4 linked regions of the Elephas maximus indicus genome follow. The protein of the gene in region 2 interacts with the protein of the main gene of each other region in a biochemical or structural test. Links are inferred from orthologs where the notes say so. Each region holds a gene or a part of one and is shown on either strand. Other genes may lie near its edges.

Region 1 (7,652 bases), on a different chromosome or scaffold from region 2:
ACAGGCAGCGGCCGGCTCAAGAAATCAGCATCTCCTGTACAGCAACACCAACTGTGCTCACTGATATGTGGTGCCACGTGGGGAGCAAACACCCCACGGGCCACCTATGGGGTTACCAAAACAAAGTGATGGGACGCTAACCTTTACTGTTCCTTACCAGTGATGTAGTAAATGTGTTTCTGGTTCTCCTTCATTCGGGTGCAGTAGTCCTTGAGGGAAACCATCTCATCACCTGAAGCCGATGTGTAGTATCTTAACAGCTCAGAGAGCTTCTTCCGATTTTGAGAGTCTTCGTGTATCCCAAGCTGAAAGACGACACAAGTGTTAGTTTTAAGAAAACTTCCCCTATGTTAAAAAAAAAAAAAAACTGAGAACGTGGGAAACTACTTTGAAAAACGCTAACGGGTCAAACGTGTTTACCAACCTTAATGTTTTTAGAGAACTGCTCGTAAAACTTTTTGTAGTTCTCTTTATCTTCTGCCAGTTCAGTGAAGAGTTCTAAGCACTTTTTGACCAAGTTCTTCCTGATAACTTTCAAAATTTTGCTTTGTTGCAACATCTCACGGGAAATATTTAGAGGGAGATCCTCAGAGTCCACCACGCCTCTAATGAAATCTGGGGGGAGAAAAAAAAGACCAAACACACTCAAGTACCAAACTGACAAATACGTAAACGTGTGAATATAAACACGTTTTTTCCATATATTAAAACTTAAAGAACTTGGGACCTGACAACTTCTGTACATCAGTGACCACCCTTCATCTCCAACCATACTTACTCAGGTACTCAGGAATTAGCTCCTCACAGTTATCCATGATGAAAACTCTGCGTACATACAATTTAATATTGTTCTTTTTCTTTCTGTTTTCAAACAGGTCAAACGGAGCACGTCTTGGGACAAAGAGAAGGGCTCTGAATTCTAGCTGTCCTTCAACTGAGAAATGCTGCAATTACAACAAACACAACTCACTAAAAATGCCAATGCACAACGCAAGTGACTTTCACTCAAAGCTCCATTACCCCAGCAGGTAGACTGACAGCTACATCAACCAAAAGCACTTTGGAGAAAGGAAAAAGTTCACAGTACCTGACCTTCCAATTTTAGACAGACTATCTAGCAGGGGCAGATTAGTTTTGAAGCACTCAGCCCTCACTCACCTTCACAGCCAAGTGATCTTCCCAGTCATTGGTCAAGCTCTTATAAAATTCTCCATATTCTTCATTGGTAATATCATCAGGATTTCTGGTCCAAATGGGCTTTGTTTTGTTGAGTACCTCTTGGTCGATGTACTTTTCCTTTATCTTCTTTTTCTTCTTCTTGTCACCATCCTTTTTCTCTTCTTCCTCTTCATCAGAACCAACATCTTCTATTTCAGGCTTATCATCGGACTCCTTTTCTTCTTTTTCTTTCTCTTCCTCTTTCTCTTCCTTTTCTTCAGCCTCATCATCACTCACTTCTTTATCTCGTTCTTTCTCCACCTCAAAAAGACATGAAATCAACATTATCCCTGCATTCCAGAACTAAAAAACAGGCTAAAAAGAATAAAACCCAAGTTAGCTAACCAAACTGAGAAACGCTAAGTAGCCAAAAACTTTTCATCAGTACTTAATTATCTACTTAATAGCTCTAAATACTTTTGACAGGACTGAGTAAACTGTTGCTTAGTCTCCAAAAAAGCTTCAAATTAATCTAGAAAATGGTACTAGGCCTTCTCCTCATCAACAAACGTTGAGAACTAAAAGTCAATGATCTACACGGAGACATTCACTTTGCAGCTATCTAGGAACTTACAAAGAGAGTGATCGGATAGCCAATAAACTGGGAATGTTTCTTCACTATCTCCTTCATTCTTCTCTCCTCCAAGTACTCGGTCTGGTCTTCTTTCAGATGCAGAATAACCTTGGTTCCACGGCCGATGGGTTCACCTTTAAGTGAACAATAAGACAAAGGGACTCAACTTTAATCTTTCAGCCCAATTACAAAAAAAATTAACTCAGCTCTTAATGTCAGTCAAGAAGAATGACCATAGCTAATCCCCCAATTATGACTACGAAGCAGGATACCATTATTACAATAAGCCTCCCACAGCAGTTAAGCACCTTGCTCTAAATAACCAGCACACCAGACACTAGTAAGTGCTCCCTAGTTGGCGCCTGACTACATGGGGCAAAAAGCATTCACAAATTTCACAGCAACCTCTGGATGCTACAGTACCTACAGTACCCCCCAACCCCCGAGATAAACCCACCCACCAGGTGCCTACCTGTGTCTGTCCTCACTGTGAAGGACCCTCCTGCCGAAGACTCCCATGCATACTGTTCATCATCATTATGTTTGGTGATCACGGTCACTTTCTCAGCAACCAAATACGCAGAATAAAACCCCACACCGAACTGGCCAATCATGGAGATGTCTGCACCAGCCTGCAAAGCTTCCATGAACGCTTTGGTACCCGACTTGGCGATGGTACCAAGATTATTGATCAAGTCGGCCTTGGTCATCCCAATTCCAGTGTCCACAATCGTGAGGGTTCGGTCTTGCTTGTTGGGAATGAGATCAATATGTAGCTCTTTCCCAGAATCCAGCTTACTGGGATCCGTCAAGCTTTCGTATCTGATTTTGTCCAGAGCCTATTCATCAAAAAGACGTTATCGTCAAACACACTGCCCCCAAAATGCGGACATTTTCGCTAAAACAATAACCAAACTGTGGCCTGAAAAGAGACTTACATCTGATGAATTTGAAATCAGCTCCCTCAGAAAGATTTCTTTGTTGGAGTAGAATGTATTGATGATCAAGGACATCAACTGAGCGATCTCGGCCTGGAAGGCGAACGTCTCCACCTCCTCCTCCTCCATGGGCTGGTCTTGGGTCTGGGTCTCCTCGGGCATCTGGGGAGGACACGGCGCAGCGTGAACACCGCACTACGGGCGCGGCCGGGTCCCCGCCGTCCGGCGGGCGTTGCTGGCGCCCCGTTTCAGCGAGATCTGGGGAGACCGGGCGCCGGGGCCGGCTGACAAAGGATGACCTCATTCCGAGCGGGGAGCTGCGGGCGGCGTGTGCGCGCTCGCGGAGGCCGCTTCGGGCAACGGGCGCCGCTCCCGGCCGTGGGGACGCCGCCATGAGCCCCGCCGGGGGTCCCCGCGACGCGGCCGGCGGAGGAGCGGCCGGACGGGCGCCCCCGAGAAAGGATCCCGCGGCCGGCGGCCCCTCCCCCACCGCGCTCCAGAACATTCGCGGACCCGGCCGGCCGGGGGAGGCCACGCAGGCCGCCCCGAAACGTGGGCCGAGGGGCCGCGGCTGGACTCGCCCGGAGGCCCCCCGCCCCCCAGGGACCCCCAAACGCCCCCTCACCTTGGCGAAAGGACGGCACGGGCTCCGAGACACAGCGGCACCAGGACGCAGAAGCAACTGGCGCGCCGCCCCCGCGCCTCCCTTATATAGACGCGGGCCCGCCCAGCGCGCGGCGCCTTTTCCAGAAGCCTCCCGAACCTTCCGGAAGAACCCTCCCCAACCGCCGCCGCGGCCGCGCGCCCACGCATGCGCTCTGGCCCGCAGCCCCTCCCCGGCCCCTCCGTTGGCGGACCGCCGCGCCGCCCCAGTGCGCCTGCGCGGCCCGGAAAGCTCGGGCACGGCTCGGCGCTTCCGGGGCCCGGCCGCCCGCCCGGGCGCTCCGCCCCCCGCCGCCGGGCGCCCTCCCCGAAACCCCTCCCCCGCCGTCCCCGGGCGCCCTCCCCGGACCCCCCCCCGCCGTCCCCGGGCGCCCTCCCCGGAACCCCCCCCGCCGTCCCCGGCGCCCCGTTTCTCCCCCAAAGCTGTCCCATGGGCTCCGCCCCCACCTCGGCCACGCGACCTGCTGGTTTCCCGCCTGCCCGCGCCCTCCGAGCCCGGGGCCGTGGGCCCGAATAATGAGCGCGCGTGGCCATGTTGTAAATTAGAAAGTCCCCGGTTGTCTACACTTCGGACCCCTCAGGGTCTGCAGCCGCCGGGGCAGCGCTTTGGTGGCCGGGTTAGGGGCCTGGGGCAGCGATTGAGGGGCCTGTTCGGGGCTTAGGGGTCTTGTGCTGGGTTTGGGGGCACTGGAACCCGGGGTCTGGCGCCCCCGCCCCGCTGGTTCGCCTTCTGGGGTGTCGTTATACTGGGGGCCAGGGCTCGAGCTGCAGCAGCGGGTGGGTGGTTCGGGGGGCTGGCCCAGGATGGGGCGTAAGTGAGGGGTGACGGGGCAGGCGGACAGTGGATACGAGGCAGACTGGCCCCCGTTTCTGACGCTCACTAGAAGGAAGCCCGGGAGGAGAGATCATTTTTGGACAAGAGGCGGCCCTCGGGGGTCCGGTGGCGGGTGATCCTGTGGCCTAGGAGGGAGCGAGGAGCGCCGAAGCCGGTCATTCGGGTGGTCTGCAGCACCCATTGCCACAGGGATCCCCGAAGACAGGCCTCCGCTGGGATTTCGGGGCTCCTTTCCCACCGGAAGGTCAGTGGGCTGCCCTGACCGCCTGTCCGTATGCCCCACTATGCGCAGGGGGAGGAGCGAGGAGCCTTGGTTAAATGACTAGCGTGAGGGCCCCAGCCCCATTTGCAGTCCTCTGTAAAAGGTGTTAAGACCACATCCTTCACACTTCGGGGTTCCTTCCGTCTGGAATTCTGGGATTTAGTGAACAAATTCATGTTCACCCAGCTAATCGTTACGTCATGATTTTTTTTTTTTTTTTTTTAACTTAATAAGGTGTATCCTTGCGAAGTACTTAACTTACGGCTTGGGTGATTAACTTACCCCAAAAGCCAATTTTTAAATGGGAATTCCCCAAGTGTTTTGAACAATGCCAGATCAGAGTTGAAAGAATCTTGGGGAGGTAGGTGCCTTAGACATTGTCCAGGTCAACACCTTAGTCTTGCCCAGGACACAGGGTTGGTGTCCAAGCACCCCTACCGGCCCACTTCCCTGCCTCAGTCCCCTCCCTCACAAACGCATCCCTTTTCCTGGGTTCTTTGTTCCTGGCTTTTCCCACTATTGACCCTCTTCTATTTCTTATATTTGAGGGCCCCGTACAACCCTCAGAAACCCTGGTGGTGTAGTGGTTAAGTGCTATGGCTGCTAACCAAAGGGTCGGCAGTTTGAATCCGCCAGGCGCTCCTTGGAAACTATGGGGTAGTTCTACTCTGTCCTATAGGGTTGCTATAAGTCGGAATCGACTCGACGGCACTGGTTTGTTTTTTGTTTTTTTTTAAGTTTATACAATCCTCTGGAAGCTCCTTACGTGTGAAGTGTGTTTAACCCAGGTCCAATGGGTGTGGGTGCGAACCACCTGTTAGGTTAGCTTGTTTACAAAGTTCACTCTCTCCACTTCCTTATCTCTAGGGAAACAGCCTTTCCTGCTAAACTCAGCCTTTCCTGAAGCAGGGTTTTCAAACCGGAGTAGAACTGCCCCATAGGGTTTCCAAGGACTGGTGGTGTATTCCAACTGCCGACTTTTTGGTTAGCAGCTGTGTGCTCTTAACCATTGCGCCACCAGGGGGAACTTTCTTTATAAGGTAGTTCTATTCTGTCCTATAGGGTTGCTGTAAGTTAGAATTGACTAGACAGTAATGGGTTTGGTTTTTTGGGTCTTAATCTTTACCAGAGCTCTGCTGGGTGGGTTTGAACCGCCAACCCTTAGGTTAGTAGCTGAAGACAAACCACTTGTGTCACCCACGGACCTGTGTGAGTGCAGTGTCTGTTATATGCACCTATGTATGCGTTGATAATGGGTCTAAAGTACTTGAGGCAAGTCTCACCATCTTTGCTTCTGAGGAGCATTCTGGCTGTACTTCTTCCGAGACCTGTTTGTTCTTCTGGCAGTCCATGGTATATTCAGTATTCTTCTCCAACACTAATTCACCAGCATCAATTCTTCTTGGCTCTTCCTTATTTCCTTACTCATCGTCCAGCTTTCGCATGCATATAAGGCGATTGAAAATAACCATGGCTTGGGTCAGGTGCACCTTAGTCCTTAAAGTGACATCTTTGTTGTTTTTTTAATGCTTTGGGTCTTTTGCAGTAGGTTTGCCCAGTGCAATATGATGTTTGATTTCTTCGCTGCTGCTTCCGTGGGCGTTGATTGTGAATCCAAGTAAAATGAAATCCTTGACAACTTCAGTATTTTCTCTGGTTATCATGATGTTGCTTATTGATCCAGTTATGAGGATTTTTGTTTTCTTTATGTTGAGGTGTAACCCATATTGGAGGGTATAGTCTTTAATCTTTGTCAGTAAGACATGTTATCTTGTTAAGTAGAGGGACAGTGAAAACGAGGAAGACCCTCAATGAGATGGATCGATACCGAGGCTCCAACAATGGGCTCAAACATAGGACTGATTGTGAGGATGGTGCAGGCACGGGCAGTGTTTCATTCTGTTGAGCATAGAGTTGCTATGATGACTCAGAACCAGCTTGAAGGCACCTAACAACATACACGTGCTGGGTCATGCTGTAAATGCATGTCTTACCTCGGGATGTGTTTGAATGTTCTAGACATGTTTTCCATGCAGCCTGGGCCGGGGAGCAAGGGAGGATTGAGAGGGAGAGGAAGCAGAAGGGGTGAGGGGTGGTTGGTATCTGTAGGCTCCTGTTGCTACTTTCACCGGTGCAGAGCGTTGACCACCCGGTGAGCCCTGCCTCCACCCATCCTGTCCTGTCACCCCCCGCACCTGGCACCTGGGCCCCTCCTGACATGGAGACTTGCTCGCCCTTTCTTCCCATCCAGCTTCTGCCATTGCCCAGGAGGTTTAAGATTTCTTAGAGATGAACTGTTCACCTCCCTGGCCCTGAAGTTATTTGACCCCATTTGTGGCTACCGGTTGTTGGGGGGGGGGGTCACTTGCCCTGCCGCCCACTCAACAAACTCACCCCGAGGTCACTTCCTGGATCTCATTGTCACCAGGAACCATTGCTTCCTTGCAAGTCCAACTTTAAATTTCTCCCTCCTTGCAAACCTCTGGCCCTTCCAGCTCTCTCCCCACTCAGCTGCTAAATAAAGGATGTTTCAAGCCCTGACTTCCTGTCTCAGAATCATTCCACACTGCTGACTGCCCTTCTCCGCTTGAGTCACTCTGCGTTGGGTTTTCACATCCTTTAGCAGGCCTTGGGGCAGAGCGCCCCCAGGTGGTCCTGGGCCGCTGTGCAGGTGATTCACCGTAGAGCTTTGGCCAGGATTCTAGCTCCACACCTGCATGCAGAGCTCATGAGCACCCCATACCTGACTGGCCCTCTCCCAGGGCCCCTAGCCAGGTGACTGCCCGCCACCTTCCAGAACCTCATGCATCTCCACAGGGGAGCCGGCACTGAGCTCTGCCATGCTCTCCATCTTCCTCCCCCACCCTGTCCCCACAACCACCTGCTCACCCCTGGATGACCTCTGCAGCCAGGGAGAGGGTCTAGAACTCCTATCTGACCCCATCAGTCCTTCCTCCATACCCCCTCCTCCAAAATCCTCACTCCCAAGAGAAAGGCACAGCCCCCAACCAGGCCACGAGGCCCTGCATGTTCCCCCCCACCCTCCCCCTACTCAGCGCCAGCACTCCCCTTCTCTCACGCCTCATTCTCCGTCACCTGCCCCTCTGCTCTCTGTTCTTATGAGTAACTCCTAAGGGACCTTCGCATCTTAGCTCACGTGAC
Region 2 (7,978 bases):
ACCGCAACCAACCATGGGGACGGTGCAGAACAGGGCAGCGTTTCAACCATTGGGCGTGGGGTCGCCATGAGTCAGGGGCCAACTGCCCAGCAGCTAACGACGACCACGGACCTGTTTTCCCACCAGACTGTGAGCCCTTGGAAAGTCAGTTTTTCCTCTGAGTTTCCAGCATCCAGCAGCATCTGGTCCGTATGGACGCAAGAAAACGTTAGATCACGTTGAGTTCAGAGGTGCGCCATCAAGTTCCTCGGGGGAAGACATTTCTCGCTGGGTTTTGGTTTCCTCGTCAGAAGACAAGATAACAAACCTTGCCTTGCCTAATTATGAACAAGCCCCTTTATTTCTTCAAATGTTTCCTGAGAATTTCCTAGCAGGGCCACTGTTGGGTCTTGGAAAAAAAAAACAGAACTGAGTAAGACGGCTGAGGACTCCCTGGGTAACACAACAGCTAAGAGCTTGGGGCTGCTGACCAAAATGCTCGAGTTTTGAGTCCACCCAGAGCTGCCTTAGAAGAAAGGCCTGGCAGTCTACTGTCAAAAAATCAGCACTGCAAACCCTACGGAGCTCGGTTCTACTCTGACACATGGGGGGGCACCATGAGTCGGGGTGACTTGGTGGCCGCTGGTTTAAGACCACCAGTCTTAGAGATCCTCTGATCCTGGGGCAGTGGCTAACGCGGCCAGAGTCACTTATCCTTCTAAAAAAAAACCTTCTAGGAAGGTTTAATTATAAACCGGCTAACATCCTTGGAGTGCCTAGGACCTTCCAGGTATCTTGCCAGACTCTTTACATGCGACAGCTTATTTCGGGGGTTAGTAAACATTTTCTGAAAAGGGTCAGAGAGTAAATACTTTCAATACTTTCAACTTTGTGAGCCATAAATGAGGTCCCTGTTGCCACAACTCAACTTTACCATTGTGGCGTGAAGGCAGCCACAGATAGCGTGCAAATGAACCGGCCTGGCCGTGGGTTTGGCCCTCGAGTCATACTTTGCTGAAGCCCTGCTTTGTTTCATCCTCACAAGCTAGAATGAACGCTATCACAACCCCCCACTACACAGAAGAAAAAACTAAGGCTTAGAAAGACAGGGAGGGGGCAGGGGTGGTTTGGTGGTAGAACTCTTGCCTTCCATGTGGGGGACCCTAGTTCAATTCCCAGCCCATGCGCCTCAGGCTCAGCCACCACTCGTCTGTCAGTGGAGGCTTGCATGGTGCTGTGGTGCCAAACAGGATTCGGCAGAGCTTCCAGACTAAGACAGACTAGGAAGAAAGGCCTGGCGACCAACTTTTGGAAATCAGCCAGTGAAAACCCTATGGATCGCAACGGTCCAATCCCCCTGGTGCATGGGGTCGCTATGAGTCGGAGGCCAGCTTGACAGCAACTAACAACAAAAGGTGGGGAGGGGGCCCCCAAAATCACCGAGCTAAGAAGTTACAAATCAAAGAGTTTTTAACCCAGGCAGTCTGAGTCCAGAGACTAAACTCTAAAAGCATTTTCCCTTTCCCACAAAAATGGGGGCACACATGAAACTTTGCACATAATTTGGGGGGTCCACAGACCCCCCTGAGAAGGCCAGGCTGGTGAAGAATCACTGATCTGCTTAACTTTGATACTGCCGTCATTTGGGGCCAGGTCATTCTTGGGGGTGAGGCCGTCCTGGTCACTGTGGCGTTCTGAGTGGTGTCCCTGCCCTCCACCCACTCCATACCAGGAGCACCTCCCCCAACCTGTGACAGCCACAAATGTCCCCTGACATGGCCTGGTGTCCCCTGGGGAGAAAGGCAAAATTACCCTGGTTGACAACCACTGTCTAGGGAAAGGAACAGCAGACAAAACAATCAGAGCCGGAAACAAACCAACAAAAAACCCAGGAAAATCATTCTGGTGCAGGGATGCAGACTGCACAAATATTACCAGATGGCACTCAATAACAAGAACAATCAATCTCTAATACGCTCTTACCAAGCGCCAAGCACCTGACTAGAGAGTATTTTATGAGTATTTAACCCACACAATGACCCCGTGGGACATCTACTTTTACAATCTCTATTTTAGAGAGAAAGATCCCGGGTAGTGGCGCAAATGGTTAAGTGCTCAACTACTAACTGAAAGGTTGGCAGTTCAAAACCACCAAGCAGCACTGTGGAAGAAAGGCCTGGCAATCCGCTTCTGTGAAGATTATTGCCAAGAAAACGCATGGAGCAGTTCCACTGTCACACAGGAGAGTGCCACGAGTTGGTACTGAGTTTTTTTTTAGAGAGGAGAGGAGGACTTGCCCAAGTTTACACAGCCAGCGAGCGGGTGATGCAGCTGGTTCTCAATGCCAGATTTTTCCTAACTCCAGCATAATACACAAAGACCCTAAATGTAAAATAAGACCTAACTCTCTGGACTAGCACTCCACCGTCACTCCTTCTATAAGGGCTTGAATGTTGCTGTGATGCTGGAAGCTATGCCCCTGGTATTTCAAATGCCAACAGAGTCACCCACGGTGGACAGGTTTCAGCAGAGCCTTCAGACTAAGATTAGGAAGAAAGGCCTGGCGATCTACTTCCAAAAATTGGTCAATTACAGCCTCATGGATCACAACAGAACACTGTCCGATGTAGTGCTGGAAGATGAGCCCTGTAGGATGGAAGGCACTTAAAATACACAGTGGCTGCAACCGTGGACTCCAGCAGCCCAACTACCATGAAGACGGTGCAAGACGGGGCAACCTTTCCTTCTGCTCTACGTGGGGTCACCACTGAGTCGGAGCCCACTCGAAGGCAGCAAACCACCACCACCCTTGGGAGCGCTCTCACTTGGTGCTGGCAGGTGGCTTTAACCCCCTCAAGAATCCTCCCGAGACAGGGACTGTGACTATGCCCGTTTTACAGAGGGGAAAACTGAGACTCCAAGAGATCCAACGGCTTGCCCAGGTCTCCCAGAGAGAAAGCGGCAGCGGCGGGGCTTGAGCGCCCACCAAGGGGTTCCCGATTCAAACGAACCGCGTTTCAGAGCAGGTAATGAGAACGATAACAGCAGCGAACACTTAGCCAGCGCCTACCGCGCCCCTCGTCCTCGCCATGGGCCTGCGAACCAGCATTTCCAGCCCCGGGGACCGGGACAGCGAGACGATGACAGGCAGGGCCGCCTCGAAGCCGCCCTGCCTCAGTTTCCCCTCTGCACCAACCACTCACAGACTCGCGTGCCGTGGCGACTCCGGCCCTAGATCGCTCGCTCGTTCCAGGCTCGGGAACCCCAGGAACCCCGAACCGAGGACTCCAACCCAGCCCGCTTCGTCGCGGACCCCCCCTCACCTCTCAGACAGTCGAGCCCCGACCCACCGACGGCTGCGCTTGCGCACCGCGGCGCCGCCCGGCCCCGCCCCTCGGCCGCGACGCCTGCGCAGAAGCAACCGGCTGTCGGCGGCATTCATCCTGCGCAGGCGCATTAATGATCGAGCAGGGCGTGGTCGGATGTGACGCGTTTTGGAGGCGGACTCAAGATGGTAGTTAGGGCAACTGACCTCTCTGACCGAATGGGGACGCATTTCAGGGCTTGCCCTTTAGAGCCGGGATAGAGCGGTGCATTGTGGGACGAAGGAGGACTCCAGCGAGACAGCCTAGCCGACCACGTGCTCCAAGCCGGCCACGTGGTGCAGCTGCGTTTGGACACCCCGTACCCCAGAACTTCACAGGCGCTAGATGAATGGGAGGAGTGTTACTCGCTAAGTTTGTTAATTTATTTCTCCACCCATCCACGCACTCACCCTAAAATGCATTCTTTCATTCACTCAATTCGTAAGACATAAAGGAGTACAGAGATATACATGCAAATACAGATATTTGTATTCGCTCAATAAATGTTAACTGCGAACCAACTATAAAGACCAACAAAGTGTCTGCTCTAATTGTTATTACCCACTGCCCTCCAGACTCATAGCGACACCATAAGGTTTCCAAGGCTGTTAATTTCTACAGAAGCTGACTGCCACATCTTCCTCCCACTTCCACCTCTCATGAAACCACTGACCTTTCCATCAGATCAGCAATCGATCGCTTTAATCACTGCGCCACCAATTACTTTGTGTTGTTTTTTTTTATTTTTTCAGAAGTAGATCATCAGGTCCTTCTACTAAGGCTCCTCTGGATGGACTCAAACTTCCAGCCTTCTGGTTAGCAGCTGAGTTTGTTTACCCAGGGACTTCATAAACGCGTAAGATAGTTCATAAGTAAACTAAAATTTCACTTAGTGACAAGCACGATGAAGAAAAAACGGGGTGCTGTGATTGTGACTGAAAACCCTGGTGGTGTAGTGGTTAAGAGCTACAGGTGCTAACCAAAAGGTCAGCAGTTTGAATTCACCAGGCACTCCTTGGAAACGTTATGGGACAGTTCTACTCTGTCCTATAGGATCGCTATGAGATGGCAATGGGTGTTTTTTGGGTAATTGTGATTGGGGAGCTAAATGTACTGGGATGGTTAGGGAAGGTCTCTCCTTTGGATACGGATTTGAAGGATGACAAAAGGCAGAGGGAAAGTGCTCAGGCACAGGTGTTGTAGAGAAAAGAGTCTCTAACTCTGTTAAAGTCAAAGAGATTTATTGAAGCCAATGAATCATTTGATTGGGAATCATGCGAAACTCAGAGTCTGAAGCTCAAGGAATCCAAGGGAGGGGGTGCACACAGTTATAGTGCCGTGGGAGGAACTACAAAGCACAATATTCTGGTTGGTTTATGGCGTGTCATGAATTGAGTTGTGTCCCCCCAAAATATCTGTCAACTTAGCTAGGTCATGATTCCCAGTATTGTATGATTGTCCACCGTTTTGTCATCTGATGTGATTTCCCTGTGTTGTTGATCCTATCACTATTATGTTCATGAGATGGGTTAGCAGCAGTTATACTGATGAAATCTACAAGATTAGATAGTGTCTTAAGCCAATCTCTTTTGAGATATAAAAGAGAGAAGCAAGCAGAGAGACAGGAGACCTCATACCACCAAGACAGCAGCTCCAACATCAGAGCCCGTCCTTTGGACCCGGGGTTCCTGAGCTGAGAAGCTCCTAGGCCAGAGGAAGATTAATGATAAGGACCTTCCTTCGGAGCCCACAGGGAGAAAAACCCTTTTCCTAGACCTGATGCCCTGAATTTGGACTTCTAGCCTACTAGACTGTGAGAGAATAAATTTCTCTTTGTTAAAGCCATCCCCTTATGGTATTTCTGTTATAGCAGCACTAGCTGACTAAGACACAGTGATTGAGGTCTGTCAAAGGCAGGACAAAATGAAGAATGATTTTTAACATTATTGGTTACGTTAATACAGCTGGAATACATTGATTGGCTAAAAGGCATAGTTACAAACAAGATAGGTGGTCTCAGATGGGGTCTCATGACTGTCACAAAACAATAGCATGACCACACTTCCAGGAACAGTTTGTTAAACACTACCTCTAACACAAAAGAGTTTTGATAAGGTTTGTTTATCCACATTCTTATACTGACCTCAAACAGAATCATTTCCTTAAAGATAGTGTTGGTTCCTAAGCAACGCAGGTGGATTCTGTGTTAGAGGTTACATTGAATCTTAGGATTAGTTCAGCCATTTTATTTTAGGTCAGCTGCCTCTTGAACCCTGGTGGCATAGTGGTTAAGTGCTACGGCTGCTAACCAATGGGTTGGCAGTTCGAATCTGCCAGGCGCTTCTTGGAAACTCTATGGGGCAGTTCTACTCTGTCTTACAGAGCTGCTACGAGTCGGAATCTACTCAATGGCACTGTTTTTTTTTTTTTTTTTTATCACAGGGAAGTGGGGGGACAAAGAATGAGTTAGAATCAAGCTTCGTGTGCTCAAGATATAGGTCCCCGGATGGCGAGAATGGTTTCAGCTTGGCTACTAATCCAAAAGTTGGTGGTTTGAACTCACCCGGCGGAGCTGCAGAAAAAAAGGCCTAGCGATTTGCTTCCATAAAGAGTACAGCCAAGAAAACCCTATGGAGCAGTTCTACTCTGACTGTCTGGTAAGGGTTTGGTTTCTTTTTTGGCCCAAGGGATTAAAAAAAAAAAAAAAAAAACTGTGGCTGGAGTTGAAAGAGTGAGAGGGTGGCATCTTTGTTATCCAGCGCTGATATAACAGAAATACCACAAGTGAGTGGCTTTAACAAACAGATTTATTTTCTCACAGTTTAGGAGGCTAGAAGTGTGAATTCAGGGTGTCGGCTATAGAAGGCTTTCTCTGTCAGCTTTGGGGGAAGCTCATTGTCTCATTATAGCTTCTGCCCCTCCATTCCTTGGTGATCTTCCTGTGGCCTGGTATCTATAGTCCCCCATCTCTGCTTGCTTGTTGCTTGCTTACTAATCTACTCTTTTATGTCTCAAAAGAGATTAATACACACCCTACACTACTACAAACCTTTGCCATTGGGTTGATTCTGACTCATAGCGACCCTATAGAACAGAGCAAAACTGCCCTATAGAATTTCCAAGGAGAAGCTGGTAGATTTGAACTGCCAACCTTTTGGTTAACAGCCTGGGCTCTTAACCACTGTGCCATCAGGGATTTCCTACAGTAACACTGCCTCACTAACATGACAAGGAAAACCCATGGCCAAATGGGATTATAACTACAGGCATAGGGGTTAGGCTCTGCAACACGTATTTTTGAGGAACACGATTCAGTTCATTACAGTGAGTGACAGGAAATTCTCTGTGATGACTGACAACTGACCACCAGCATCCGGCTAAAGTTACCAGAGTGTTCTCTCAATTGGCTTCTATCCTATTTAAATCATAGGTGTGATTAATACCCTCGATTACTTTCATTTCTTTTGCAGAATAAAAAGGGTAGGTTTTTTTTTTTTTTTTTGCCATTTAATTCTAGTAATTTTGCTTTTTCCGTGGTGCCTGGTGCAGCTCTACTCTGAAACAGGGGGTTGCCACAAGTAGGAATGGACTAGACAGCAACTTTTTCTTTTTTAGAAGCTGGGTAGGTTTCTGGCAGTGTGATAACATACAAAAACGTGAGGATCTTCCATGAGGGAGCAGACTTGTAAATCTACCTGAATACACAGTTATAAGTTAGAAAGGATCAGACCCATTGCTATCAAGTTGATTCTGACTCACAGTGACCCCGGAGGGTAGAGTAGATCTGCTCTATAGAGTTTTTAAAGCTATAATCTTCACAGAAGCACATTGCCACATCTTCCTCCCAAAGAGCAGCTGGTGGGTTTGAACTGGCGACTTTTCAGTTACCAGCCGAGTGCTTAACCATTGTGCCACCAGGGCATCTTAGAAAGGAGACAAGCACAAATTAATACTGAGTTTTAGGCTTTAAAAGAGCTATCAATATGGAGTCAAATTGACAACAGCAACTCAAAACAGTACGTAGGAACCTTAGGGGGGCAATGAGTTTATACTGATGGGGAAGGAACAATTTCCAAAAGGAGGGTGAGAATGGTTGCACAACTTGAAGAATGTAACCTACGTTACTGAATTGCATGTGTAGAAATTATTTAATTAGTATATGTTCTGCTATGTATATTCCCAACAACAACAAAAATCAAATAACTTATTTAAAAAAAGAAAAAAATACTGGCGCTAGAAGCGCACGTGAAGAGCTGCCGCCAAAAAAGCCTCATGGCCAGACGCTCAGAGGTTCCACCCCCACGTGCGGTTTCCATGGACACGGCCAGCGGCTCCGGGGGTGGAGCCCGAGGCTCCGCCCCTCCCGCTTCTGAGATCCAATGAGGAGCTGGCAGGGTCATGGCGTAAGCTAGGCGTGAGTCCGCGGGGGCCTGCCGCCAGGACGTGTGGGCGGGGCTCAGGCGTGCGTCAGTGTCCCGCCTTCGGCGCGCACGCGCTCTTCCAGCATGCCTTGCGAACGGCGGACGGCGGGCACCTCAGTCTGGGAGCAGCGGCGGCGACCGAGTGAACTCAGGCGGCCGCTGCGGTGTCCGAGGCACCTAGACGAGGACCAGGTGGAGCGAGGGAACCGCCGG
Region 3 (6,761 bases), on a different chromosome or scaffold from region 2:
ATGAGTGTCCTCAAGCAAGTCACCTGTCACCCCTCATGGGCGAGAACTGACCCCTTCTGGGAGGAGACAGAGGAGAGCCGTGACATGAAGGGCCAGGACACCCCGTCTCTGGTCCATGCTTGGCCATTGCTTCCTTTTTGGCCTCAGTAGTTTATCAAACCCAGGGGGAAGCACTGCTGCAGAGATTCCCCCCTGCTGGGCTGGGGTGAGGTTGAAGGAAGATGGACTCAGATTGGAGGAGTGGCCCTCACTGAGCAGAGCTGATGGCTGGGGCCCAGCATGGCACAGGCACATGCCCCAAGTCACACCACAGAGCCCCGATCTACTTTTCCTTCATCAGAGCACATGGGTTGCAGCGGCTCTGAGGAAGGCCCCAAGGCTGGCTGTCATATGCCAGGACATGTGTCACATCAGCTCCTGTGAAGCTGAGTAGAGGGCAGGTGGCAGGACTGAGCCCCAGGCATCAGCTGCCTCCCCTTTCAGGCCTGGGAGGGAGTCGATGGAGAATTTACTCTCAGTAGGCTACCCATGAAACACCACAGCTCAGCCCTTGTAACTGTTGTAAACAACCACTTGCCCTGCTCCACTGTGAGGCACTTCTAGAAGGTGGCTGGACTCAGATTCTGCCCCCATCCCCTTCACTGGTATGAGCCGGTGTTGTCACACTTTTGTGAGGGGTTGGTGAGTGAACCCAGGTCAAGTGCTTTGACAGTGACTGGCACCTAGCAAGAGCCAGTACCAGTCAGCTGTTTTTATTTTGTTAACATTACGAGAACACATTTAATGCAACATGCAGCCATGCTTCCTCCCACATGCCAAGGATCTTATTTGGAGAGCCCCTTCTCCGTAGCGTCGGTCACTTCAGGGTTCAGGAAGCGGCTTGCCAAGCGTTCAATGTCATCCATCGTCAGGCGGCTCAGGGACCTCTCGTACTCCTGAGGAGAGAAGGCCAGGAGGATTTGGGCTGGGGGGGGGGGGGCAGTCAGCAGAGGCTGGAGCAGGGGGCACTGGAGTGGCAGAGGAGGTTTGGGCTTATGGGGCTACATTCTCACCCGCTGGAGTTGTTCCTGGACCCTGTTGGCATCTGCTGAGCTGAAGTGTCGGCCCAGAACTTTGGCGATCAGCTGCCAAGTCTCTGAGGGTGGAGCTAGTGGTCGGGGCTGGACCTCTGCCTGCCTCCGAGCAGTGCCTTGGTCCAGTAACACCTTCTCCAGAGGCTTGACCACTAGGTTGAGCTTGGAATTGGGGCCAATGCTGTAATCTGAAAGTCGTTTTCCATCTGCCAAGGAGAAATTGATGAAGTTCATTACCTCCAGCTGCTGTAGTTGCCCAGGGAAGTGAGCCCAAGCAAGGGCACTGCAGTGTGTCTTGCTGCCGGTGTGTCGGCTCCCTCTGTGCGGGCAGCACTGATAGCCGCCTCGCTGTGGAGCGTCACACTGCCACCAGTCTCATTCTCGACACCCCACCCCCGCCTTCCTGCGGGGCTCCCTGGGCGTCTCCACTCCCCTGGTACCTGCCAGGGCTTTGCCCTTGAACAGCAGCCGCTGCTGGCGCACAGGGACGTTCAGTTGCTCGGAGACCAGAAGCTTCAGTGAGGACACCATCTCGTCCTCTGACACCTGAGCGGACCGAGTTTGGGAGGCAGGGGTTGAGCCTGCAGTTCGCTGGGCTGTGAAGCCCTCGCAGGCCCCTCCAGGACTCAGCTCTCCAGGCCTCCCCGCCCCGGCTGGCCGACCTGCCCTGTCCCCTCCCCGAGCCGGCGCCGCCCCTGGTCCCTTCCCGTCCCCGCGCCTGAAGGCGGTGAGTGCACGAGTGGGGCAGGGTGGACCGGGCCTGGCGACACTACCTGCAAGATGCACTCTCGGCCCTGGAGCGCCTTCACCGTCAGCTGCATGGCGGCGGCGGCGGCGGCGGCGGCGGCGGCGGCGGCGGCGGCGGCGGCAGTGTCCACTTCGACTGACGCGCACCCCAACGGCCCCCCGCCGCGCGCCACCGCCACCGCCCCGGGCGCGCGCCGGAACCGCCCTGTGCGCCCCACCCTAGCCCGCCCCCTCCGCGCTTGCCCCGCCCCCGGCCCTCACGCCCCGCCTCCCCTCCTCGCCCCGCCCCCTCCGGCCAGCGCGCCCCGCTCCACCCTCTGCCACTCCGGGAGGAGGAGTTCCTCTGGTGTCTGGCTTTGCCCACGCCCAGGGCCGGTCCAGACTGCCGGATCTCCGCCCTCCTCCTCCACCCCGCTACCGTGCGGGGAAGCTAGGCTGACGCCAGCCAGCCAGTACTGTATGCCAGGGTGGAAAAGGGGAATGAGTTGGCCAAGTTTGCTTCATCTGGGAGATGGGGCTTGGGAGAAGGAATGGCTGGGAGTAAGCTCGCCCCGTGGAACTTCAGGCCCTCCAGACGCTCCGACTGCTGGTGGAGTAGCTCAGTAGCAAACCTAGAGTCTGCCTCTCAGTGAGCCCAGCCAGGGAGGGGACAGGTGTCCACAAGTCCTGTCCACACTTGCTCCCCTGTCTGACGGTTTTGTCCCACCTTCCTTTTAGTCTGGCTGCAGAAAAACCAACTGCTGTGCTCAGAGCAGGCAGGGTAGCCCCGCTCTGCCCTCATCCCCCCTGGCGCTCATATTCTAGAGCAGAGAGAGGCCCACCTCTCACAGGATGGCATGAGGGTGGGGGGCTGACAGAAAAAGAGCCTGAAGCTCATAAACCACAGACCTGGACGAAGCCTCCTTTCCAACTCCCCCAAGCACACGTGGTGCAGGGTGTCACCCAAGTTGGCCCTCCACTCTTGCCCACACCTCCCCAGCCACACTCTTCTTACCTCACTCCCACCCCCAGGCCCCAAAGGGCAGAGACTGGAAGGGACCCAAACTTGCTTCTCTCTTTTATTGAAATATATTTCTGGGCAGTGCCCACCTACCTAACTCAGCATGGCCTCTTTGGCAATGAAAGCTGAAGAATACAAAATCAGTACAAAAAATAAGCCTGGATTTTCCAAGTGCATAGTGCATGAGCACTGAAGGCCTTTGGTACGCGAGAACTGCGGAGAGTGGGGAGGGGGGTAGAAGCTTGGCCCGGAGCCTCAGTGAACTGGGAACAGGCTGCTATAGATGAAGTGGCCCATGACCAAAGCCAGCATCTCTGAGGTGCCACTCAGTGCCACAATGAAGGGGGCCTGGGAGGCAAAGTCAGCTTGGAGGTGGCGGAAGGACAGCTGCAGCATGGCCAAGGCCAGCAGGCTGTTCTGCACCCCGACCTCAATGCTGACCGTTCGCCGCTGAGCCACAGGCAGCTTCAGACATGTGGCCAGGCAGTAGCCCACCAAAAGGCCCACCAGGGGCACTGTGAGGCCCACCAGCACGATGGGGAACCTGACGCCCGCCAGGATGAAGATGCCCATGCGGTAGGCCAGAAAGAGGCCACCCAGGAGGAGCACAAAGCTGAAGGGCTTGATGACCTGCAGCAGCAGCTGGGAGAACCTGGGGAGCTTGGACTTGATCACCACACCAGCTGCTATTGGAATGGCAATGAACAGCAGCGTCCCCAGGATCTTGGAGATGGGCACGTGAAGGGTTTCATGGATGCTGAGAAGGTGGCTGTAAATAGCTGAGGACAGTGGCAGGAAGCCAGTGGCAGCCACCGTGGAGATGAAAGTCATGGAAATGGCAAGGGTGACATCTCCTCCAAGGAGGAGGCTGAAGAGGTAGCTCCCGCCACCCCCGGGCGAAGAGCAGGTGATGATGAGGCCCAGGGCCAGGGCCTTGGGCAGCATGAAGACCTTGGCCATCAGGAATGCATAGAAGGGCATGACCAGGAACTGACCCAGGAGGCCCAGCAGCATGGGCTGGGGGCTGTGCAGGAACCCCTTCAGAACCTCGAGCTCCACTTTGCACCCGAACGAACACTTGTTGACGAAAATGAGAGGCAGGAGCAGGTAGAGTATTGGGTTCTCTGAGAAGTGGGCCAGGTCAGCACTGAGGGTGGCTGGCGCGTCTTCAGCAGGCAAGACCTTGATGGAGAAATCACTCCGTTCCTCGATCAGCAGGGGCTGGGCCTTATGCAGGTCCATGAGCTGCAGGTGGAGGGGTGCCAGCCCTGCCAGGCCAGAGTGGATGCTCACCACAAAGCCACCCCCACCACCCCAGCTTACGGCACTCACGTTCTTGATGGTCAGCACCGCTGTGTCCAGGGAGGTGACCCTGAGCGTGGGGCCAAGCCTAGTCCCATTGCTCTGAGCCGGGTACTGGCTTGAGATCACGATGATGCCTTCACTCTCCTCGGGGAACTCAAACTCCATCACTGAGCCGTCCCCAATGCTCAGGTAGTGGGCCCTCATCAGTGGTACAGTGTGGCCCAGAGCTGTGCTGAGGTTGCCACTGGCTGTTCCTCGGACTCTCCATGGCAGGCTGGCAAGAAGCAAGGCAGCCTGAAGCATACTGAGGGGGCCTGGGCAGCCACCCACCCTGCCCAGGCCAGGCCTCTCTAACACCATGGCTTCTCCTGAAGGACCATGCACCAGGGTTCTCTGCAGCTTAGGAGGGCTCCCCAGCCTGTACCGTCGGCTGGTCCTGAGAACAGTCCATGGGCAAGTCCAGGTACTGGGCTGCTTTCCTGGATGGCAGAGCTCTCCCTGAGGAGAGAAAGGACACAGAGAGGAGGCTGGTGACGGACAGCAGCATGAGCCTGTGAGACTTGGCCCTCTGGGAGTGGTAGCATAGGGATCTGGAAGCCTTAGCAGAGCCTCTTGCGTCAAGCCCAGGAACAGAAGGGCAATGCTTGATGCTGGCCCTTAAGTGCCATTCGGCTGTCCCCTCCCCCAACACAGCTGCCTCAAGTTTCCCACATGCTAGTGTGGCCCCCCATCCCTTGCCCAGAGGGTCCAGCTACAGATATGAGTTACTGTCAGCCGCTGATAACTACTAATTTCCCTGGACATGCCCTCTCTGCCCCTCCAGGGGCAGCGTAGAGATGCCCCGATTCCAGTGGGTTCGAGGAGAGCCACCCCCAGGCCTGTCACCACTAGCACCACATACAAGGCCTGTTTAATCCCCATGGGCTCCGAAACACAGTGACAGTGGGCTTGCTGTGATACCACAACTGGATGTGATCCCGAAACACTGCTTGGGGATGACCAGGAGGCCCGCCTGAGGAGAGCAAAGGGTGCTGACTGAGCCTGATCTGGGAGCGCTTGAGAACAGGCCAGGGAGTTGGAGTGCCTCAGGCTAGGCACAGAGGCCAGCAGAACAGTGTGGGCAGGTGGAAGGCCCCAGAGGCTTTTGTCTGCCACCAGTGCTCTGTTGGGAAAGGGGCTGGCATGACTACCTGGCCTGCCCTGCCTGCTGGCAGTGGTGAGAAGGGAGTCCTGAGGAGGAGCAGGTCCCCTTCCCCCAAGGAACTTGCTGGAAGAAGCAGCAGGAAGGGGTCAAATAGGGTCACATGTCTGCTGAGGAGCTTCCCCTCCTCTGGACAGAGCTCCTACTCCTCTGGCAGTCTCCAAATATGGCTACTGGAGTCGCAACCTCATATTTGGAAAGCTGTGCTCGGAGGCTAGTCTCCCACCCCCACATGTGCCCCCACCAGCATCTCTCACTACCAGTGTGTCTGTGAGTGCACTGGGGTGAAGGGTGCCTCATGGTGAATATTGTTGCATCACCTGCTACAACTGGGGCAACACAGCAGTTTTGCATCGCTACTTCTGGTTGCTTCACACCTTGGCAGAGCCACTGGCTTCTCTAGTTCCTAGTAGTGTTTGGCCCTTGCTTCCCCTTCCTCACCCCCCCACCCCACCAGTCTGGGTACAGAGGGAAGTGGAGGGCAGCTTAGGCAAAAGACTGGTCCTTGGAAAAGCGTCCCCCAGGATGACATGGGCTCTGCTGGTTTGGGAGCTTCAGGCACTTACCCTGGAGGCCTTGGTCCAGCCTTGCGTCCCACCAGAAAAGAGGGATGCAGGAACACAGAGATGGGGGCATGAGAAGGAAACTGGAGGGATTTAGAGGAAAAAGATAAAGGCTCCCAGGCCCCCGTCTTCCCAATACACCAATACAGCTACCAGCTTTAAGTCACCGCAACAGAGGTTCAGCTCAGACCCTAAACCATTTCTGCTGCAGGGCCGGAAGAGTTTGACCAGAATGCACCCCAGGGCGGGGTATGGATCTCGACCCCGGACGGCTTTGTCCACACGGGTTTTCAGTGTTGAGGGCTAGTTGGCAGTGATGGTCTCAGGGCTCCTCCCTACCTGGAAGTCCGGAAGTTGTCTCATTTTCCATGAGCAGAGCTGCTTCTCACTCGTGGGCGCAAACCAGGGAGGGAAGGAGCGCGCGGCCGTCCCGCAGCCGGCAGGTTGGGGGCCTCCCGGGTGGCCCCGAGGGCAAAGGAAACCTCGCCTGACCCCCAGGACGCACGGCCACGCCAGGCCTAGCGAATGCGCGGCGTCCGGTCCTTCCCCGCCGGCCCCTGGCGCTGGAGCCAGCGCGCAACCGGGCTGGGCCAGAGGCCACAGGCCACCTCCTGCCCGACCCTTCCCGGCCTGAGGCTCTCACCTGCCGCGCCCGCGGAGCTCGACGCCAGCGCCTGCCCAGCCAGCCGGACGCCTGCGAGCTCGGCCCGCCAGGGCCCCGCCCACGGCCCCGCCCCAACCGACCCCGCCCACCAGGGCCACGCCCCGCGCGGCTCCTGGCCACGCCCACCTCACGGCCCACCGTTCACCGTTCGCTTCCGGGTTGGGTTTCCACCGGATGTGACGTTTTGGGGAGTGGCGCGGCGGCCCGC
Region 4 (7,890 bases), on a different chromosome or scaffold from region 2:
AATGTGCAGAGTAGGATTGATATCTGGAGACAAACCCCAGAATGAGGACTGGAAAATCATCTTTATTATTCTCGAAAGGGAGTTGGAAGTCTCTAGCTAGTCTCCTCCCACCCACCACCATCACAGCTCCCACAGTATCCGTCTGGGGGCACAGATGAAGCCACAGGTCAGTTATTGGACAGCTCACAGGCCTCTGGCAGGAGGGAGGAAAAAAAAAAAGATGGAAAGGAAGAACAGGGAGAGAAGCAAAATTGGTGGTAATGAAGAAGGGAAGAATGCGTTCCTTTATTCCGCCATGTTCCTTTTTTCCAAAAAAGGATCTCTGAGGACTTTTTCCCTCCATGACTGACCCTTTACCCATGCAAACTCAGAAACCCCTCTTTTGAGTAGCCCAGAGTCCAGCCTGGGTTCCTCAAGTGACATCACAGCCCTTGGCCACCTGCCTCTGGTGCCATCATAGCCTATGACACAAATGGGAGTGTCAACATAGCCATTCTGATGATGTCAGCTTTGGCCATGTCGTCCTATGATGTCACATGAGCCCCTTTCATCCAGCACTCCCAGAAGACTTGCTCAGTCCTAGTCCTCTACTTTAGGACTTTAACCCCTCACCTTGATCCCTGGGCATCAGTAAGAAAGCCTTGGAATCCATGCAGGAGGTCAGGGACTGGAATTCCTCCACACATTTCTCGGGAGGGTGTGGTGAGCGATCTAGAAGGGCAGAGCAGGGTCAGGCTAGTTGAGCCCCTGCTCCTCAGCACAGCCCCTGGTGAGGGCCTCATGGAAGCACTCAACCCTCCCTGGAGTCATATCATAGGGCCCAGAGTGAGGGGCCCTCCTGCCCTCTCTGATCCTTCCTGCTTTGCACCCCACTCACTATAGAGGAGGAAGCGCTGGTAGCCCTGGCCCATCTCTTTCAGCATGATTCCACCTGGGCATGAACTGGAGAAGAGCTCGGTTTTCATGTCAGGACGGCCTGTGAGGGTGGGTGGGAGGAGGGGGCGAGGAGAGAGATGCAAAACCAAGCAAGCCTAGGGGACTTGGGGAGGGTCAGGGGACTTGGGGAACCAACCTTCAGTTCTGAGATGAGTGCTTTCCTCAGTCAGGTGGTAGGTCCATTTCCGGGGCACACAGAGCCCATTTTTCCTGCATAGGTGGTAGTGGCATGGAGGAGAAACCGAGTGACACCCCGGCCACACAGCATCTGCCTCCATTTATTCCATCTTATTCCTCCTTGAAGCCTGGATCTCCTTGGGTTTCAGGCTACCAAGGGATGGTTAGGTCCATCTCTCTCTGTCAGAGGGAAACTAATACAGCTTTTGAACCAAGTGGGCCAAGAACAGTGAATGTATCAGCCAAGAGCACAGCTCTTGGTGGTGGGTGCTCACACTTTGGTCAGAGACTGCACCCACTGGTGCCTCTGCCTCCTCATCACTCACGTTCGGATGGTAGCATGAAGCTGGAGCTGTATCGGGGTAGAGGCAGCAGCCATGTTGAAGACAATGTTGTCCACAGGGTCAAAAGTTGCCAATTCTTCCCTGGTGGGAGCTGCCCCTGCGATAAAGTACCACCGGCCAAGGTGGGGCTCTGGGAACTGGAGAGACAATGAGGGGAGCAAAAGAGGGTGGGTCCCATAACAGGATCCATTCAACCTCTTCATCAGCCAGTAGGAGAAGACTTAGGGGTAGGGTGTGGGCTGTTTTCCTCTTTCTAATTGGGTAATGGATCTATCACACAGAGTCATCAATGACATTTCCCCTTTGCTCCTCCCCAATCAACCTGGCTAACCAAGCCCACTCCCAATTCTGCCATGTCTCCACATCGATGACTACAGTCCTAGTATTTTTCTTATTCTTGCTTTCATCATCCCAACATTTATACCCTCTTCCTACTCTCCTTTCCCAACATGGCTTCTAGTCATCCTAGGCCACCCAGCTGAGTCCCTGAGAGCCTCTATCATAGGCTTCCCTCATTCCCAGTCTGTACCTCTTTCCCATCCATTCCTAGAGTTGTCAGTTGACTGTGCTCAGGGCACTGGTAGATGGAGTTAAGGAGAATTCCATAGAGGTAGAGCAGAGCTGCCCAAATTTGGTGGAACATCTTCAGGCAGGAGGGAGCCGATGCCCTGTGTGGGGTGGCTGGTGCCTTAACTGCTCTCTCCCCTGCTGGCTGCTCAGTCTACTCTACTCCCAGCCCCCTTGCCTTGACCCTTGACCCTTTCACCTGCTAATGAGTAACTTCAACCTTGTTTTCCAACCCAAGTCTGGATTTGGACCTTCCTCCCCCTCCTCTAGATGCAGCCACTCCACAGTATACCCTGGTATGTTCAGGGTCTCTCGGGAGTTATGAGAGCTTGGGTTTTCAATCCGCATCTGAGCTGGATATCTGCTATGTTGTGCAGCAGTGAAGTGGGGTTGCTTTCATTCCTTCACTTAGCAACCTGTTTTGAGTCCCATTTGTTTGCCAGGAACTGGCTAAGCCCTGGGGACATAAGGATGGATAAGACATAGTCCCTGGCCTTGAAGAAGTCTGGGGAAAACCAGCTGTACAAACAAATCATTGCAATACAACCTGATAAGTGCTTTAGAGCAGGTATGAACCAGGTACTGGGGTGGGATGGGTGGGAGACTTTCTCTCTGCAGGAATTTGTAATTGGGGAAACTGTATCTTTGTAAAAGTTTGCTGACAAAATGGGTTCATTCACTGACCTTTATTGCTAAGCAAGAGGCTATATAATCTAACGGGTAAGAGAAAAGACTTTGGTGTTAGGAGGACCTGGGTTCAACCCCCAACTCTAGTTATTAGACCTTGAGCAATTTTATTAATCTCTGTGCCTGTTTCTTCATCTGTAAAATGGGCACATATGAATTTCATAGGGTTAAATGAGATGATATACATAAAGACCAGCAAACGCCGGCATGTGGTAAGCTCAAAGTAAATTACTAACCATAATTAATGGTAATGTCTGCAAGAAGTAGTAATTAAATAGTGCCAAGTGGGTGGTGCAGAGTTAATGCAATGAGAGGTGGGGCTTCTCTATAACACGCAGACTGCAAAAAAAAAAAAAATTGTCCTCAGCAATGAGGGTTGCTGTGGGATTGTGATTTAGTTAAAAAAAAAGAAACAAAAAATAATCTGGGTGATGGGTATATGAGTGTTCATTATACTATTCTACTTGGGTATGTTTGAAACTTTTTATAGTAAAAAAAAAAAAAAAAATACAATTTATTGGGGTAGCAAAGTGTAAGTGCTGGAGCCGGAGTCTGGCAGGCCTAGGACTGATTGTCAGTTCTGCCACTTATGTTCGCCTAGGTGTACTCACCTATAAAACAGATGTAATATCTCAGACGAAAAATTTACTGTGACCACAGTACGTGAAATTTTAGTATATTGCTTGACACTAAGTGCTCACTAGACAGATCTTATTAGACCTCTTCATTTGGGACTTGGGTATGTAAAAACTATAAATTTTGGAAAAGCACCCCCTGAGGCAGGCATCTCAGCAACAAGGGGTTTAGCTGGACGGGTCGTACCGTCGCAGGGCCGAAGACCCTGCCCTTGGGGGAAGGGCAGAGAGGAGCAATAACTCAGGCAGCCCTGGCCTGCCAAAACCGTTTGGGTCAGAGTTTCGTCTTTCGGTCCCATCTGACTCCATTTGCCACAATTCCCAAACTTGGACGGGTTTCTTGACAAAATTCCCGAAAGGTAGGGCAGCATCCTTAACTTTCCGAAAGGATGGCGTGTCCCCTCGGCCGCGAAGCCCACGGTAAGGAACATGGCGCCCGGACCCCACAAAATGCCCACCGGATAGAACTGAGGACCGACGAACGATAGGACCTCACGCAACAGAACGGACAATACGCGAGTCGCCACCAACCGCCTGCGGAAAGGTAACTTGCTGAGGCGCCGAAGGGCGCAGCGAGGTCTACACTGACTGGAAGGCAGGGTTTTAGGTGGCCAGAGCAGTGCCGCCTGAAATTCTCTGCCTGCCAGGACTTTAAAATAGATTAAATGAGGCATAGTCTCAAATACTCAAACTTCAAGAGCCATGCAACAGTCCAAAGCGTCTCTCCAGGCAGTCGTACAGTTCCAGATAGTAATTTATTTTCAGGCATTTATCGTGGCCACCTCAACCTTTGATCGCTCAAACGCACGAACATGAGAAGCGGGGGGTGGGGACGTGCTTAAGGACGTACGCATGCGTACTGCAACTCACGCAGGCGCAGTACGGTCCCCCGGGCGACGGCCGTGGCGGATCCTCGGGGTGCTCGGCTCCTTCCCATCTAGGCCGCCCCCGGCCCGTCTCGCCCCCAGGGATCCATTCCGTTGGGGGCCGCGGACTTTCTCGTCGTGCCCCACAAAAGGAAAGTTTGGGGACCTGGGGGGAGCCGGAAGTACCGCCTTGCGATCCCCAAATACTATCGGGGAAACGGAAGTGGCCGTCGGTGGCAGGTTGGGAAGACCGGAAGTGACGGTACCTTGGAGAAGTCGGGGGTGGAGCTGCGGGGAAGTGTGTATGTGAGAGTGTGTGTGTGTTTGTATGTGTGTTTGGCTGTATGTCGATTGTGCCGCTCTGCTGGATCGCCGAGGGAAGGCGGAAGACGGGGGGCTATCAGCTAGCCGGTCCCGCCCCCCGTGAGTGTCTGCCGTCTGTCGTGACTTAGGCGGGTTCGATGGGCGTGGCGCGCGTGCGCGAAGCTATTTTCTCCGCAGTGTCTGGCGCGACCCCCGCTCTCGCAGTGTCCCAGGGTTTGCCGATCCCTAGGGCCCTTGTCCTATTGCGACCGGTGATGACACTGGTCTCGTGCTTCCTCCCCTGCTTTCTAATCCGACTGGCCCTCGTTATTGTGATTGGCGTCTTGGAGCCCCTCCCACCTCCCGTCCTCCAGCTCCCTTTGCCGTCGATCCCTTGCCCTTTGTGTTTCTCTGCCCCGGAATCGGAAGGGGGATGGGGGCGGGTGTGAGTGCGAGTGCTTGTGTGGGAGAAACTTTTTAGATATTGGGGCGGGGACTCAGGCTGGGGAGGCTTCCGGGTATATAAAATCTGCTCCAGGCTACAGCGGATCTCCCTCCATTCTTCCCTAGAGAACTGTCGGCCATGGAACCCAATGATAGTACCAGCACCACTATGGAGGAGCCTGACAGCCTGGAGGTGCTGGTGAAGACCTTGGACTCTCAGACTCGGACCTTTATTGTGGGGGCCCAGGTGAGACCCTGTTGCTGTTGGAAGACATTGATTAGCTTTTTCTTATAGGCTCCTTAGCCTGAGGGAAGAACCTGATTTTCTCGTCCCCCAAATTTTCTGACATTGATTTGTTTGTTGGTATTTTATACAAAACGTTTCTGGTGTTTCTCGTTGAATGAGAAGGTAGAGTTTCTGATGAGTGAGGCACATTTTCTGCCTTACTCTTTTTCTTTAGAACTCATTGCAGAGGGAAATACAGAGGAAGGGGCCATCTGTATCCCATCATTGTAGGTGATCGTCAGCCCAAAGGGGCAGCCATAGCTCAAACAACACACGGACCCAAAACAGAAGTGTGCTTTAAGAACAAAAATTGGCCAGGTGTATACCGTGTCTTTAAGGCTAGAAATCAGAGCTAATAATGAATGTAGAGCTCATATAGACTGCTGGGTGGAATTATGAATGTGGCATACTTTTAATTTCTTGAGTTTAATATCACGGATACAGCTACCTGTGTTTTTACTCCGGTGATACTTGGAGACAAAATTGTGACTGAGTTGGTTCATGGGTGTTTAAAACATTGTACTCCATGAGTATTTAAGAAAACCACGTAGATTTTTGAGGTTAGATGTCACGTAAACATTTTGGTGTTTCCTAGAGTTGTTTAGTTATGAAAAATGTTTTGTTTTTTGTTTCCTTCTTGCTTACTTCTTGGTTGGATCTTCCCTTCTTAACCTTCACCCATCTTCTTTGTCATTTCTCTTATTTTTGAGATTACAGGGTTGTCTGTGGTAAAGAAACTTCTGGTATCATTTTGTGTTTCGGGAAGGGTGATCCCCTCTGGCATCTTGAGACACACGTTCCCTTGGGAGTCAAGCATAAAAAGAGAGAAAGGAATGTCAGTTGGTTTTTCTGTTTTTCAGCTATGTAATTCTTTTCTGGGCATATAACCTGAGCTTATCTGAGTTTGTTGTCTGTGTCTTGATATATTTTGTCTGTATCTGTTCTCAGAAATTTGCATGGTAACTATCTCACAGTCAACATAGGTAGTGATTTTATTACGGTTTTTGCTCCTTATCTGGGCATGAGTCAGTTGTCACTCCTCTGTTCCTTCTTCCTCCCTCCATTTCCTGATTCCTATTCTTATCTTTTCCTCCTTGCAGATGAATGTAAAGGAGTTTAAGGAACACATTGCTGCCTCTGTCAGCATCCCCTCTGAGAAACAAAGGCTCATCTACCAGGGCCGTGTTCTGCAGGATGATAAGAAGCTCCAGGAATACAGTAAGGGGGTGGGGGATGGCAACTCAGAGGTTGAAGCTGGTGTGCAGAGTGATGTGCTGACATTATGGCTTTACCTGATGTTTTGGTGTGTGTCTATCTTTTTGCACCACAGATGTTGGAGGAAAGGTTATCCATCTGGTGGAACGGGCTCCTCCTCAGACTCAACTCCCTTCTTCTGGGGCATCTTCTGGGACAGGGTCTCCCTCTGCTACCCATGGTGGGGGACCCCCACCTGGTACTCGGGGTCCTGGGGCCTCTGTTCATGACCGGAATGCGAACAGCTATGTCATGGTTGGAACCTTCAATCTTCCTGTAAGCTTGTGTTCCACTTGGGAGGGTTTTTTTGGGTAAGGGTAGATTTGGTTGTGGTAGTAGCAGGGCGCTTGTAAGACAGGCGTCTTAGTCTATAGATTGAGTTTGGAGGCTCCTTTGGTCTGATATTGGCCTCAATCTTTGAAGGGAAAGGGGGCGGGGCTCCAGAGAATGAGTTGAAAGTATGGGGGCCTTAGTATTTGGCTTCTCCCAGAGCAACTTCACTTACCCTTTCCCCAGAGTGACGGCTCTGCTGTGGATGTTCACATCAACATGGAACAGGCCCCGATTCAGGTATCACGGGGCCTGGGAGGGTCAGGGAAGGGGATCTGGGAGAAGGAGGCCTTGAGGTGGGGTGGAGATGGCTGGGACCTCGTTTAGTAGGCGGTGGAGCTCATGGCTTCATCTCAGACCTGCCCTGATCATCCCTTCTCTTGCCATAGAGTGAGCCCCGGGTACGGCTGGTGATGGCTCAGCACATGATCAGGGATATACAGACTTTGCTATCCCGGATGGAGGTAAGCAGGCAGGGCTGGCTAGTGTGTGTCTGTCTCTCTCTGTGCATCCTCTTTCTGTCATCCTGGGGATGGGGGCATGACTGGCTATATCCACTGCTTCCCTAATCTGGTCTCTTTTTTGCAGTCTTCATTCTTTCAAGCAGAAAAAGTATCTTTGTGGGGCTATCTTGTCCCTGCTAGTCTTCTTGGCATCTAATATCTGGGGAGTTTGTTTCAGACTTTTTAGATAATTCTGACGGTCTCTGTTTGTTCCATTAAAAAAAGGTTCCGCCTATTTTAGTTTATTTATTACTTTTAACATCAGAACGTTTTAACTCCGTTAGTTTGAATTGCAGCTGTAATTTGTCGCCTGTTCTTCTTTTGTCCTGGAGATACAAAAACTAGTCTGTACTTTTTGTTAGTAGCTTATTTACGAATCTTATAAATATTTATTATGCTCCTGATTTGTGTCTTTTACTAGTTCCTGGGGAGTCAAAAATGTAGACACAAAGCTTTGCCTCCAAAAAACCTAGTTAGAGCATGTTCTCTGCTCAGTCTCTTTTGACCCGAGTAATGCTCTGCAGTAGTCTCATCCTGCCTTTGGTGTCCTGACTCTCC

Evidence for each region.
Region 1: the proteins of SGTA (region 2) and HSP90AA1 form a complex in vitro, tested with the Homo sapiens proteins (2 studies listed by BioGRID, with this or other methods). The link is inferred for Elephas maximus indicus from reciprocal best matches to the Homo sapiens genes SGTA and HSP90AA1.
Region 3: the proteins of SGTA (region 2) and UBL4A form a complex in vitro, tested with the Homo sapiens proteins (3 studies listed by BioGRID, with this or other methods). The link is inferred for Elephas maximus indicus from reciprocal best matches to the Homo sapiens genes SGTA and UBL4A.
Region 4: the proteins of SGTA (region 2) and BAG6 form a complex in vitro, tested with the Homo sapiens proteins (4 studies listed by BioGRID, with this or other methods). The link is inferred for Elephas maximus indicus from reciprocal best matches to the Homo sapiens genes SGTA and BAG6.

Annotation. Positions count from the first base shown.
Region 1 is NC_064828.1:111,071,689-111,079,340, reverse strand, and holds the start of HSP90AA1 (heat shock protein HSP 90-alpha), read right to left. Parts: upstream 3,467-7,652; 5' UTR 3,356-3,466; intron 2,893-3,355; coding exon 2,731-2,892; intron 2,632-2,730; coding exon 2,265-2,631; intron 1,927-2,264; coding exon 1,793-1,926; intron 1,480-1,792; coding exon 1,159-1,479; intron 945-1,158; coding exon 779-944; intron 616-778; coding exon 425-615; intron 306-424; coding exon 158-305; intron 1-157. UniProt on the Homo sapiens protein: Molecular chaperone that promotes the maturation, structural maintenance and proper regulation of specific target proteins involved for instance in cell cycle control and signal transduction.
Region 2 is NC_064821.1:3,524,268-3,532,245, forward strand, and holds the start of SGTA (small glutamine-rich tetratricopeptide repeat-containing protein alpha), read right to left. Parts: upstream 3,380-7,978; 5' UTR 3,303-3,379; intron 3,290-3,302; exon of another isoform or gene 3,183-3,289; intron 1-3,182. UniProt on the Homo sapiens protein: Co-chaperone that binds misfolded and hydrophobic patches-containing client proteins in the cytosol. Mediates their targeting to the endoplasmic reticulum but also regulates their sorting to the proteasome when targeting fails.
Region 3 is NC_064846.1:1,934,832-1,941,592, reverse strand, and holds UBL4A (ubiquitin-like protein 4A), read right to left. Parts: upstream 1,988-6,761; 5' UTR 1,895-1,987; coding exon 1,847-1,894; intron 1,620-1,846; coding exon 1,514-1,619; intron 1,280-1,513; coding exon 1,053-1,279; intron 936-1,052; coding exon 825-935; 3' UTR 686-824; downstream 1-685. Other genes in the region: SLC10A3 (P3 protein), read right to left, coding at 3,076-4,623, 5,893-5,972, 6,229-6,259. UniProt on the Homo sapiens protein: As part of a cytosolic protein quality control complex, the BAG6/BAT3 complex, maintains misfolded and hydrophobic patches-containing proteins in a soluble state and participates in their proper delivery to the endoplasmic reticulum or alternatively can promote their sorting to the proteasome where they undergo degradation.
Region 4 is NC_064819.1:93,182,271-93,190,160, reverse strand, and holds the start of BAG6 (large proline-rich protein BAG6), read left to right. Parts: upstream 1-4,520; 5' UTR 4,521-4,540; coding exon 4,541-4,635; intron 4,636-5,085; coding exon 5,086-5,206; intron 5,207-6,345; coding exon 6,346-6,463; intron 6,464-6,575; coding exon 6,576-6,775; intron 6,776-7,015; coding exon 7,016-7,069; intron 7,070-7,218; coding exon 7,219-7,293; intron 7,294-7,890. Other genes in the region: APOM (apolipoprotein M), read right to left, coding at 168-193, 613-711, 878-976, 1,073-1,146, 1,440-1,594, 1,987-2,100. UniProt on the Homo sapiens protein: ATP-independent molecular chaperone preventing the aggregation of misfolded and hydrophobic patches-containing proteins.